2 linked regions of the Mus musculus genome follow. The protein of the gene in region 2 purifies or fractionates together with the protein of the main gene of each other region. This does not show direct contact. Links are inferred from orthologs where the notes say so. Each region holds a gene or a part of one and is shown on either strand. Other genes may lie near its edges.

Region 1 (3,969 bases), on a different chromosome or scaffold from region 2:
AAACATCCTAAAAGCTGTCTTTGTATTCAATGCTGGCAAAGGTGGTGAACAATGGGGACTATCCAGCAACTACTGTTCTTTTTGTTCCTTGGGGCACACCTGTGAGAGGAAAAACCTATCAAAACAGATTCCTCAGCTATCCTCACCAATCTTCTCTTGCCTGCACCAAAATCCATCCTTCCCACAAGCCCCACTCTCCAGCACAGGCAGTCTTCAGGTTTGAAAACTTTCCTGGTAAAGTCACTCCGTACAGTGACTAGTGCCTTTCAAAACCGTTTGAATCGCTGCCAAGCTATGACAAGCAGCTACAGCAATGAAGTGGGTTGAAGTTCTCCTGTCCCTGTTCAGTAAACAGTGTGTCCAAGTATGCCCCAAGTTCTCGAGATATGATATAAAAGTAGATAAAAGGTCAAAAATCAGAAAGCCTCTGACTAACTTAAGAAAACTCAGACCCAAGCCACCAAGCTTTTCTTTGGTCTTTTTCCTCAGGCTTGACAAAAGTAAAAATCGCCTTCGAAGTTATTGCTTAGCAACAATGAGTCAAAACCTCATCGTAGGAAAATAGTTAGCTTTTCTATTATCTATAGATGGGGGCTTTAGCTAGAATTTCCACTAAACGATCCATAGAAGGTATCCTTACATAAGAACCCAGAACAGAGGTGAACGTGACTCTAGTCTCCTGGTCTACTCAAACACGCACATTATCTACACCTTACCACCTAAATAACCCTTGATGGCCCCAGCTAACGGCATCTAGCATCCCCTAATGGACTTTGTCTCAGACAACCCAATTTTCTTGTATGGCAAACAGCTATTGCAACATGGCTTTGCTTTCCTGAACACACACTCCGGGACCGAGCCATTGATTGAACCCATGTTTCAGTTCAGCCTGTTGCAAAATAAATAAACGAAGCGCAAATATTGACGGTTCTCATGCAACTCCAAAATACACGAAAAGGGACTCCCTGGAACAGCCACAAATGCGCAAAGGGGAAACAATGGGAGGAGGAGGAGACAACAGAAGGGACGGCCCAGGAAGAGCGACGAAAGGGGGGTAACGTGAATGACAGGGCTTAACGGTGACTCCACACGCCACCGCCTGGACACAAGCCCTAAGTACAGCAGCCCTAGCAGCCTGGCAGTGTGTGAGAAGGGACACCCCCCGCCCCAGGTGACCACCACCCTGAGTAGGTCGACACGCACCTGTGATACTGCGCCTGCAGGAACTGGAATTCCTCTTTAATCCGGTCCAGAGACTCCGGGATAGTGAACTTAAAGGGCTGGCCTGCAGCTTGGTGCGGCGTCTGCAGGTGACCAGCATGAGGGACCAAGGGAGGAGATATGAGGATGAGGGCATAAAGCAGAAAAGTAAGAGGGAGAAGCGGATGGGACATAAACAAAAAAAATAAATAAATACATAAAGTTAGAAGTGGTGGAAAACAGAGGCCCAAACTAGAACCCTCGGTTCACTTTAGAGAGGGAGAAAGCGGATCTTCCTGGGGCCCTAATTTCTCAGGAGGCTCAGGAATAAGTCTGCCTCCAGTGTGGACAGCGCGTGCCCGGAGCTCTGGGGTCACCCGGCCCGGAGGAGGCTGAAAAGGCCCAAATCAGAGTTTCGATGTCCAGGCCGCCCCTCCCCAACTGGTTCGAGAATGACCCGGGACCTGGAGATGAAATGCCAACTCCCTCTCGGCCCCCAGTCCGGGCCGCACTGACTACGCGTAAACAGGCGAGAAGAGGGCTCACTTCGGCCTCGGGATAAGCGGGCCGTGACTGCGCGACGCCCGTCCGCCCGTCTAGACATCCAGTGGGAGGGGGCCGGGCAAGGGGAAATGGGGCTTCGTGGGCTCCCGCGCGGGGCAAGGTCCCACCCACGCCGGCGACTCACTGGGTGCCGGCTCTGCGGGAACATCGCTCTGGCGGCAGCCGCGGCTCTGTTCCGGGATAGCTCTATCCTCCGCGCCACTTCCAACTTGAATCCCGCCGAGGAACGTGAAGCAGCGCAGCAGGCCGGCGCACGGGGCACTCGGGATGCAAGGCCAGGGCGCGACGGGTGCGGCCCCCGCCCTCAGGGCCACATTGCGGGCGGCTCGGCCGGCCCCGCGCTTGCGAGTCTGCGCAGCGGGGGCGCCCGGACCTCCGGTGGCCCTCCACCCGGTGCCCCCGGCGCGCTCCCTTCTGCGGCTCACAAATGCAGGAAGGCTGTGTGTCTCCTCCCTGCGTCGGCGGTCGTGCAGGTGGCGCCTTGGCTAAAACCCACGTAGACAGCCAGCGGCGAGAGCCGCGTCTCGGGTCGGGAGGTCACCCGCTCCCACGACGGTAAGCTCCGGGTCACCGGCGGCTCTCCACCGGCGTTGCCGAGTCTCCGGCGGGGCGTGGAGCTTCGAAGCCTAGCGGGGTCCTGGCAGGGTCACGCCAGTATGCGTCCTCCCTCCAGTCGATGGCTAGTGATCCCGGTGCAGCTCTTTGGCCGCCCGCCGCGCCTCTACCCCGGGCATCAGGCCGCCGGTCGCTCTCCGCGGCTCGGGCGCTCCCTGCGCCTGCCTTCCCCTCCTCGGCTCTTAGCAAAGGGCTGACCAGCTCCTGCCACCGCAAAGTTCTCACGACCCGGAGGCAAACGTCCACGCGACTGAGAGCGCGCTGCCGCTCTGTCTCCCTCCGCGGCGGGCCACGTCGAAGGCGAGTCCCGGCTTCTGCCCCGGGACGCGGGGTCCCCGCCGCTGCTCCTGCCGCCGCCCGCGCCTCTTGCGCCGCTTACATTAACACGCGGTTTCACACTCGCTAGCAAACCAGCACCCCGCCCGAGCCGTGTGGCGGGGGCTGCAAGCACCCAGGCGGCCACGGACGTGGGCGGAGCCGCAGCCGCTCAGCCAACCGCGTGCGCCGCACCAACGTGGGGCACTGACGCAGGCCGGCCGCAGCCTGTGTTGGCCTTCGCTCCGCCCACCTCGCGCGGCCTCTGTGCCGCGTCTCCCCGCCCACTCGCCTGGGCCCCTCCTCCGCCAGCGCGTCCTGTGCGCTCTGAGTGCCGCGGTGCCCGAGGAGCCGCGGGGCGCCCACGCCAGCCAATGGGGAGCGGCTAGACGCCGAGATTGGCAAGCGGCTTCGGAAGGTCGGTGGGAAGGAGAGCGGCGGGCCGAGCTGTCAATCAAAGTAACGTGGGGCGAGTAAGGGAGCGCGCGAGTGCGCGCGAGCCCGAGCGACCTGCGCGCGGCAGGCAAGTAAAAAGCAGGGGGTTGAAGTTTGCAGAAGCCTGTGGCTCGCTCCGCTTTTCCTTGAAGGAAATCTCAGTGAAAGTAGCAGAGACTAACCACGGGGTTTCTTGTTGGGGGAGGGATGCGTCTTGGTAACAAGAACAGAACTCGGCTTTTCGGTATTGGTTCCCTTTGTGCTACTCTGAAGGTGAGATTTCATTCACAACTTTATCGGAGGCTTATTTTTCCGCGAGCTGCCGTTCCACGGACGCACGAGAAAGAAGTTAACTGTGCCTTTGATGGGAAGTGCGTGAGTATCGCAGCAGCTGGCGTGCACACACATCGTGGCAAGACTGGAACCGCTGCACCGGCTTCGTAGGATTTTGCGCCACTTCTTGAAAGGTCGACCTGTCTCCATTTTAGCATGAAAGATCCCTAAGGTGCCGGTGCCGGCAGTCTTTGATACACGTGTTTCAGGCACAGAGGAGATGCGCCCCGTGAGAAATAATGAGTTCCGGTTTTGGAATGCTTTCACATTTGGATAGGAGGGAAATGGCCAAGCGTTTTTTGGAGACTGCCTGGAAAGCACTAGTCAGTTTCAAATGTCTGGAAATGAAAGGCAATGGGATAAATCAACGTTGAGACCTGAAACCTCCCCCTCCCCCTCCCAAGTTGCTTTGGTTGTCCTCCTGGCAGAAGCGTGGAACTACTGAGAATTGGTAAATGAAGCAGCTTGAGGATCTTGTTTGATGAGGATTGACTTAAGAGGAATTTC
Region 2 (7,691 bases):
TAACATCCTAAGGCCCGATTTCGGTTGCAAAAAGGAACAGCCCCTGCCTCAGCTCCTGGTGGCTTCGGCTGCAGCCGGAGGAGGCGCAGCAGCAGGAGGAGGAAGCCGCGTGGAGCGTGACCGAGGCCAGACTGGTGCAGGTAGAGACCCCGTTCACTCTCTGGGCACACGAGCTTCGGGGGCTGCCTCGCTCTTGTGTGCTCCAGATGCGAACTGTGGCCCACCCGACGGCTCCCAGCCCGCCACCGCTGTCAGCGCCGGCGCATCCAAAGCCGGGAACCCGGCTGCTGCGGCGGCCGCGGCCGCAGCAGCGGCTGCAGCGGCAGTGGCGGCAGCGGCGGCAGCAGCCTCGAAGCCCTCGGACAGTGGCGGTGGTAGTGGAGGCAACGCGGGGAGTCCCGGGGCGCAGGGCGCCAAGTTCCCGGAACACAACCCTGCGATCCTACTCATGGGTTCGGCTAACGGTGGGCCGGTGGTCAAGACTGACTCACAGCAACCCCTAGTGTGGCCCGCCTGGGTCTACTGCACACGCTATTCGGACCGTCCGTCCTCTGGTGAGTACCCGAGCCGGGATGTGCATATGTGTCCAGGCCATGCTCTAGAATTTCAAGCCGTCACGCCCGGGAGAGTCCAGTTTGAAGCTCCATCAGCTTCACGTTTTATTTCTCTTGCCCCGGGTCCTAGTCACAACCGATCCTGTGCTCGATTCTGCCCTGCCATGTTGGCCTATTCGACCAAGGAAGTTACAGCTATTGGCACGCACAGGAGGCTCCAGTTTTTGTCCTTTGATTTTACGAACTCTGAGCCCTGAGGTCATTTTTGTATTTTATTTTATTATCTCGAAGAAAGATATCTAATTACTCATTGATCTATTTAGTAGGGAAAGGGCGCTTTGAGCTGGCGGGAAGATAGGCCTAGTTAGTGACTTGGTTCTGCGTCTACCACCGTAGTCCTGTCCAGAACTGTCTTTAGCCAGGGAGATGAACCGGAGAAATATTCTTTGCCGTGTGTTTTAAACAAACACTATGGATATTATACTGTGGAGAGTCCATTTGCATAAAAACAGATATGGGAGAGACAGAAAAGAGAAAACCTCCATCTCTTGCGCCCAGCCCGGGAATGGGGAGTCAACCCGCGTGGGTAGAATGTAGAGGAAGGCCCTAGCCAGAAAGGTGAGTAGCCTCTGCTCGCTGGTGCTGGCAGGCCGTGGGAGAGCAAAACAAGCAGGCTACTGGAAGATTTGAAATCTGGACCATGGGCAAGGGAATCAGCGTGTGCCTGGCAGGGCTCCCCTGTCCCTTCGGCCTGGGTTTCATTCTTTTACTCTCTCTCCTTCGCAAATATGCCCGTTAATGGCTATCTGCGTGACTTAGGACAATTCTCTGCTTTCTTTTCCTTTGCTGGAGCACCTACCTACCCAAGGTCAGCTGCTGGGCCCTAGAAGAGGGGACTCAGGCCTGCTTCTCCTTGCACAGAGCGGGCGTTTCTAGGAGGCCAGCGCCGGTCCCCCGAGGAGAACAGCAGGGGCTTGGGTCCAAGGTCAGCTTTGGGCCAGGCAGGGGGCCGGGCAAAAGGTAGCCACAGGCGCCCCACTGCTGGCTGGTGTCTTGCAGCCTTGCTGCTTCGGGCTGGGTGCGGATCGATGCGCGCTATCAGCCCCCGCCATCTCGAGCCCCGTTATTGACAAGTCGGGCTCCCTGAACCTCCGAAAAGCTGCTTTGATTGACTCGCCTGATGGATAGAGTGATTGAGCTGTCAGGCTGAGTGGGTCGGGCCGGCCAGGAGGCTACGATTTTATTACAAGTGTCCGTGCCTCTGCACACAACAACAACACTACAACATGCTCAGGACGCACCTCCCGCAGCGGAGTCTCTTGGAGGATGCGCACATGTCCTGGGCCATCTCTGCCTGCTTGCCTTATGACTCATCTAAACCCAAGTCTTGCTCAGGAGCAGGCCTTGTCTTTGTTCCTTGCTCCTTTTCTTTTTATAGACCAGAGAAGGCAGGGACCAGATACTTCTCCAAAGGCAGTTAATGTGGAGGAGTGACAACTTAGACGTGATTCCTACAGCCAGTAAGGCCTGGACTCCTCCTCCACACACAGCTACTGACCCTAGGTGCTGGTCGGCTGCTCCATCCAGTTACTCAATTTTTCCAGTAACTAGGTTTGCACATGCCAGCAAAGACCCCTCTCTCAGATAGTTTTAGGTAATAACAGACAGGTCAGGAACGGCCTCCATAGCTATCACTGAGGCCAGCAGTGCCCACATCCCAGCAAGAGTGCCACGAAGCAGGTTTCAACCCTCCAGCCAAGGTCCAGCCTAGTTCTCTCTCCTTGGCTGGACCCCCATACCCACCTTCCACATTAGCATTTGAGAGAGGCCTCATTCTCTTGGAGAATGGCCTTCCTACACCCCATCTTGGGGTAATAGCACAGGTCCCCCCCGCTGTGATTGTTTCTTTCACCAGCATCTCTTGGTCCTTGTTTTGCTTCTGGGTGGGGACAGCAAGGGAAGGGTTATCACCAGCCATGGGCTTCCCAATTTGTTTGTGTTACTTCAAGACTTTTGCACCCTGAAATTATGCAGGCAGGTTTAGAAAAGAGATAAGAGAACCTCCTCCCCCGCCCCACACCATGGAGAGGAGTCCTAAGGGTCCTTCTTTTTTTTCTTTCTGACATCAACCAAGAAGCTAAATAGAATGTCCCAGGCTTAAACTCATAGACCAGGGGCAGCAGTCCTAATAGGAATGGGCAGGCAGTGTCCTGCTTCGCTACTGAAAGAGCTTCCCTCAGGTCGAACAGAAAGAAAAGAAGGCAGAAAGGGATTCCTGATTCTCTGGAGTTGGGTGATTTCAGCTTCCCTGTTCTCTCTGAGGTCAATGTTGAAAATCAGGTAGGCTTCTCTCTCTCTCTCTCTCTCTCTCTCTCTCTCTCTCTCTCTCTCTCTCTCTGTGTGTGTGTGTGTGTGTGTGTGTGTAGCTTCCCAAGAATAAAGTGAGAACCAAAGTAGATCAGAGATCAGCCATTCTTCCCAGGGCCTGACCTTACTGATGTATTTATTCCAGGGCTAAGAAGACATTCTGGTTCAGTGATACCCTAAGTCTAGGTTATACCTTGGGACTCCAAGAACTCACTGTATCTTTAATTGCTCCCCCAGCCCTATTTTGTTGTTGTTGTTGGCCTTCTGGGCTGGACAGTACTGGGAGCTAGGTCTGTTCTCCATCTTTCTTGAATCGGGTGGCCCCTGCAGTCCCTGCCAGTGTGCTTGTTTGGTTTCCGAGTCCCTCCTGCAGAGGGGGGCCTAGAGATCTCAATGGTGTAGAGAGGGGCTCTTTGATGGAGATAGCGGACCCAGCAGCTGGCCTCTACAATCGCCCCGGAAACTCGGGATCCCCGCCCGCGGTGTACTCCACACAATTTTCTCAAGGCTTACTCTGCCCTCTCCCCCTCCCTCTGTTCCTGACCCCCTTCCTCCCCTCCCTGGCCCTGTCCTCCCCGCTGCAGGTCCACGCACCAGGAAGCTAAAGAAGAAAAAGAACGAGAAGGAAGACAAGCGGCCGCGGACGGCGTTCACGGCCGAGCAGCTGCAGAGACTCAAGGCGGAGTTCCAGGCAAACCGCTATATCACGGAGCAGCGGCGACAGACCCTCGCCCAGGAGCTCAGCCTGAATGAGTCCCAGATCAAGATCTGGTTCCAAAACAAGCGTGCCAAGATCAAGAAAGCCACCGGCATCAAGAACGGCCTGGCGCTGCACCTCATGGCCCAGGGACTGTACAACCACTCTACCACCACGGTTCAGGACAAAGACGAGAGCGAGTAGCTGTGGCCAGCTCCGGGGCCCGCGGTCCAACGGCGCCCGTGCCACCTCCAGGCTCCTCGGGGCTGCCGCTTCACCAGCCCCACGCAGAGACGATCGCTATGGAGGGAGGCATCAATCAGGGCGACAGAGAAAGCGAGCAAGAGAAAGCAATCCTCCGAGTGGACATTCACATAGGAACAAAACGGTTTTTGAAACGGGAGTAAGACTCGGACAGGTGCTATGGGGGAAAAATAAACATCTATTCTCTAACTCACTGTATAAGATGAAACTGCGAATTCCTTAAAGCTCTATCTAGCCAAACTGCTTTCGACCGTGTATATATTTAATTTCAGGTAAGGAAAACAAATATGTGTAGCGATCTCTATTTGCTGGACATTTTTATTAATCTCATTTATTATTGTTATAATTATTATAATTATTATAATTATTTTTCCCCTCCTCCCTACCTTGCTGCACCCCCCCCCCCCAGCCCAGTTTCGTTTTCGTTGCTCTTTTCCTTTGAATGTTTTTGCTTCTCTGGGTACCTCCTGCACCCCCAACGCTGGCCCTGGTTTCTCTGGGACTTTTCTTTGTGTGAGTGTGAGTGTGTTTCCTTGTGTGTCTGCCCCTCGCCTCTTCTCTACCCACCCAGGATTCTTCTATTGGTCTTGTCTATCCCTCCCGTAAATCCCCTTCCTTTTCTGGAGACTCCTTGAGAAATACAACCCCACAGACTGCGAGACTGAACCGCCGCTACAAGCCAAAGATTTTATTATGTTCAGAAACCTGTAGTCTGAAATAAAATGTTCACTGTGTTCATGAGTTGCTGACTGCCCTCTTCTTTGTGGGATGAGAAAGAGCCCATCCAGGTACTGTGTGGCGACCACCCTGGCTGTACAGGGTGGGAGCAAAACCCTGGGAAGCTCAGCTATGACTGTAATCATCACTGCTCAACAAATGTTAGTGTGAAAGGGAGTGTATGGCACAGGCTGTCCAGGTTTGCTTTGGTCTGGAGGATATGCCGAGTCCCTGAATGTATTCTAGGCGACCCCAATGTCAGAAAGTCCAGTCCTTCACTGCCCTTCCCCCAAAGGCTCCAGCTGGCTGCTTAAGCTTGTTCAGGCTCAGCCAACTGAGTCCTCTTGTTCAACCTGCTTCCATGAACAAAACTATACCTCTAGGTCTTTTTTTTTTTTTTTTTTTTTTTTTTTTTTTTTTTTTTTTGTGAAAGTCTAAGACTAGAGGCCTTACCAGGGCCTGCAATGGTGGCAGACTGTTTGCAAAGCTGCCCAGCTTTGGCCCAGAGTCTCTTCACCTCTTCCTTTGGGCATGGGATTCCCCTCCGCAGGTAGCTAGTCTGATTTGATGCTCGCAGGGCTTCACTGTGTAATAGTCTCCTCATACTACAAAGAGGAGGCCCGTCTGTGTGAAAAGCTGTATCTAGTGATCCTGTTCAGGGGGTCTGGAAGCCCCCAAACAGCCAGAGGCCTACCTCTCCCTGACCTGAAGCTTCAGTATAGAGGTTCCTTTTCCAAATCCAGCAAAGCTTAGCCAAATTCCTCATTTCAAGGAGAGGAGATTGTACACAGAAGATCCTAGGACAGGCCAGACACTTGGCCAACCCAGAGAACCCTCTGGGGAGTTGTCAGTGAGTGGGACAGACTCTCCAGGACTGACACCCCCTGAAGCTTTCAGAGGCTAAGACTAAGAGCCTATTTAAAGGTTCCCATCTCTCTTTTGTTTAGAATTTTATACACTATAAATTCTACTCTCCTTTTTTTCCCTATATGCAAGATGCATGTAACATGTAAGCAACTATGTATAGGTATGTACGTAAATGTGCCAGATGGGTGTCCATACGTTTGTGTGCACATGTAATAGTGTGCACATCATGGTGAGCCTCGGTTCCCGGCCATTTTGTTTGTATTCTGCGTGTGTTTTTGTATTGTGCAGCTGAGTGGTTGTTACGCTGCAGGGTCTGACACATTATTGGACATTTGTGAGTTCGGGGGTGTCCGTATTTGCACTAGTGTGCATTTGCGCATCAGAACCCTTGTCTAGTGTGTTTGGGACTTGCATGAATATGGGGACCTTTCCTCTAGAGTTTATTTCCTGATGCCCCCTCCCCCAACAGGATTGATTTTTGGAAGAAATGAGAATGGTCCAGTTATCCCACTCTTTTCTTGAAAAAGTCCCCGAAATTTGGCTCAACATCCCGTTTCTCACCAGGGAACTAAAAGTGCTAGGCTCTGTACCCCAGGAAGAGTCCCACACTGTCTCTGTCTAAGGGCTTGGGAACTTGGGGTCCAGGGGCCTGGAGAGCAGTTGGAAGTCATTAAACATTCCTATGGGTCTCTTATGTCTTACTGTTGTTTTGGGGGTGGTGCCTGCACATAATTGGTGTTCAGAGGTGACTGGAAGCATCCGTCTTGACAGTGGTGCTTGGCTTCTTGAGGTTTTGCTGGTTGGCCTTCAGGTGAAGAAGTCCGAGGTCTGAAGTGCTGGCCAGCTCAGAATCTGGAGCCGTCCCCACCCCCAGCCCCCATCTCCCTCTCCCCAAAGGACAGAAAGCACATGGGGATGTGGGTTCATGGCTCTTCTACCTCCTCCTTTACCGGCCATGGCCCCTAACTTAACGGAAGCATCCACTGCCACCCATTTCAGGGGCTAGGACAGAGGCAGCTGCAGGAAGTGTCCCATTCCCGAAGCCCTCCTCCTACCACCCAGAACAAAAAGGCCAGAGACAAGAGATCTCCACCCCCTAACCCCAGGGACAGCAAAGGCCACTAGTCCAGCTCCTGGGTGTGTTGGCTAAGCCTCTGATGGGAGCGGTATTGTGATGTAATTTGATTTCTTACCCATTATCTCTCTTTATCTTCTAATCACGTGGGCAAATAGAGTTTTCTTCATTGTTCGGCAGCAGAAACCGGGGCTCTGAGAACTTGGAAGCTTTTTGTCCTCTGAGCCTTCGTCTTTTTGGAGCCCATACTTCAAAGATTTGGCCAAGGCCTTGTAGTCAAGGTCAGGACCGACCTTCCTCTTCTCTCTCCTTCCGATCTGCAATTTTCATTCTCTCTTATTGGGGCAGCGAAGAAGGGGAGGACGGATCCAGTCAGACCTTATTCAGGCACCCCTTCTTTTAAAAAGAGAGAAGGAGAGAGTAATAATGATCATAAATAGGCATTGATTTCTCGGATTTATGGGGCTGGCTTGGCGAGCTGCCTGTGTATTAAGTGGGGGGGGTTGTATAGCTACATCGAGATAAATACTTGAGCTGAGTACACCAACCCAACTTCCTCATCTTCTCCTTTTCCTCCCCCTCCCTTAAGGATTGGGATTGAACCATATACTTAAATCTTCCTCAGCCTAGAAGGAAATACAAGCTGCAGGAGTCTAAACAATATCGATTTCAAGATCTCTTTTTGAGGGCAAAGGTCTCTGTTTCCTCTCTTTTCCTACCAGGGTGGGGGGAGGGGAGGCAGTGGGAGGGATAGGATGAAGATAGGGAAGGAGAGCCTGCATGGAGGCAAAAGTCACTCGGTGAACATTCTGCCTGTGCACACGTCTGCAAGTGGACTAGCTTTGGGCATTTTGACTTGTATGTTGTGCATATATTTATTTAGGCTAGGGAGGCGTGTTGGATAGATAGGCTCCAACGGATGCCTGATTCCCAGGCCTCTATATGGGGCTGCCCAGGGTACAGAGGAGTGGCTCTGGCTACCATAACCCCATCAGTCACAAGAGATGAAGCTACCTGGCAGCCAGTCAGCACCTCAGAAAGTTCCCTTCCCCCATATCTCTCAATGAGACCAAAGTGCTGAGACAGGGGTGAGCTCTGGCCTCTCCACAGCCTGAAGCTAGAGGCACCAGAAGAGAACCTACCCCGTGCT

What was found.
Region 1: the proteins of En1 (region 2) and Tle1 purify together in Homo sapiens (affinity purification with western blotting; 4 studies listed by BioGRID and IntAct, with this or other methods). This does not show direct contact. The link is inferred for Mus musculus from reciprocal best matches to the Homo sapiens genes EN1 and TLE1.

What each region holds. Positions count from the first base shown.
Region 1 is NC_000070.6:72,198,094-72,202,062, forward strand, and holds the start of Tle1 (transducin-like enhancer protein 1), read right to left. Parts: upstream 2,801-3,969; 5' UTR 1,913-2,800; coding exon 1,889-1,912; intron 1,329-1,888; coding exon of another isoform or gene 1,305-1,328; coding exon 1,204-1,304; intron 1,174-1,203; exon of another isoform or gene 147-1,173; intron 1-146. UniProt on the Homo sapiens protein: Transcriptional corepressor that binds to a number of transcription factors. Inhibits NF-kappa-B-regulated gene expression. Inhibits the transcriptional activation mediated by FOXA2, and by CTNNB1 and TCF family members in Wnt signaling.
Region 2 is NC_000067.6:120,603,368-120,611,058, forward strand, and holds the end of En1 (homeobox protein engrailed-1), read left to right. Parts: coding exon 1-554; intron 555-3,505; coding exon 3,506-3,822; 3' UTR 3,823-4,624; downstream 4,625-7,691. UniProt on the Homo sapiens protein: Required for proper formation of the apical ectodermal ridge and correct dorsal-ventral patterning in the limb.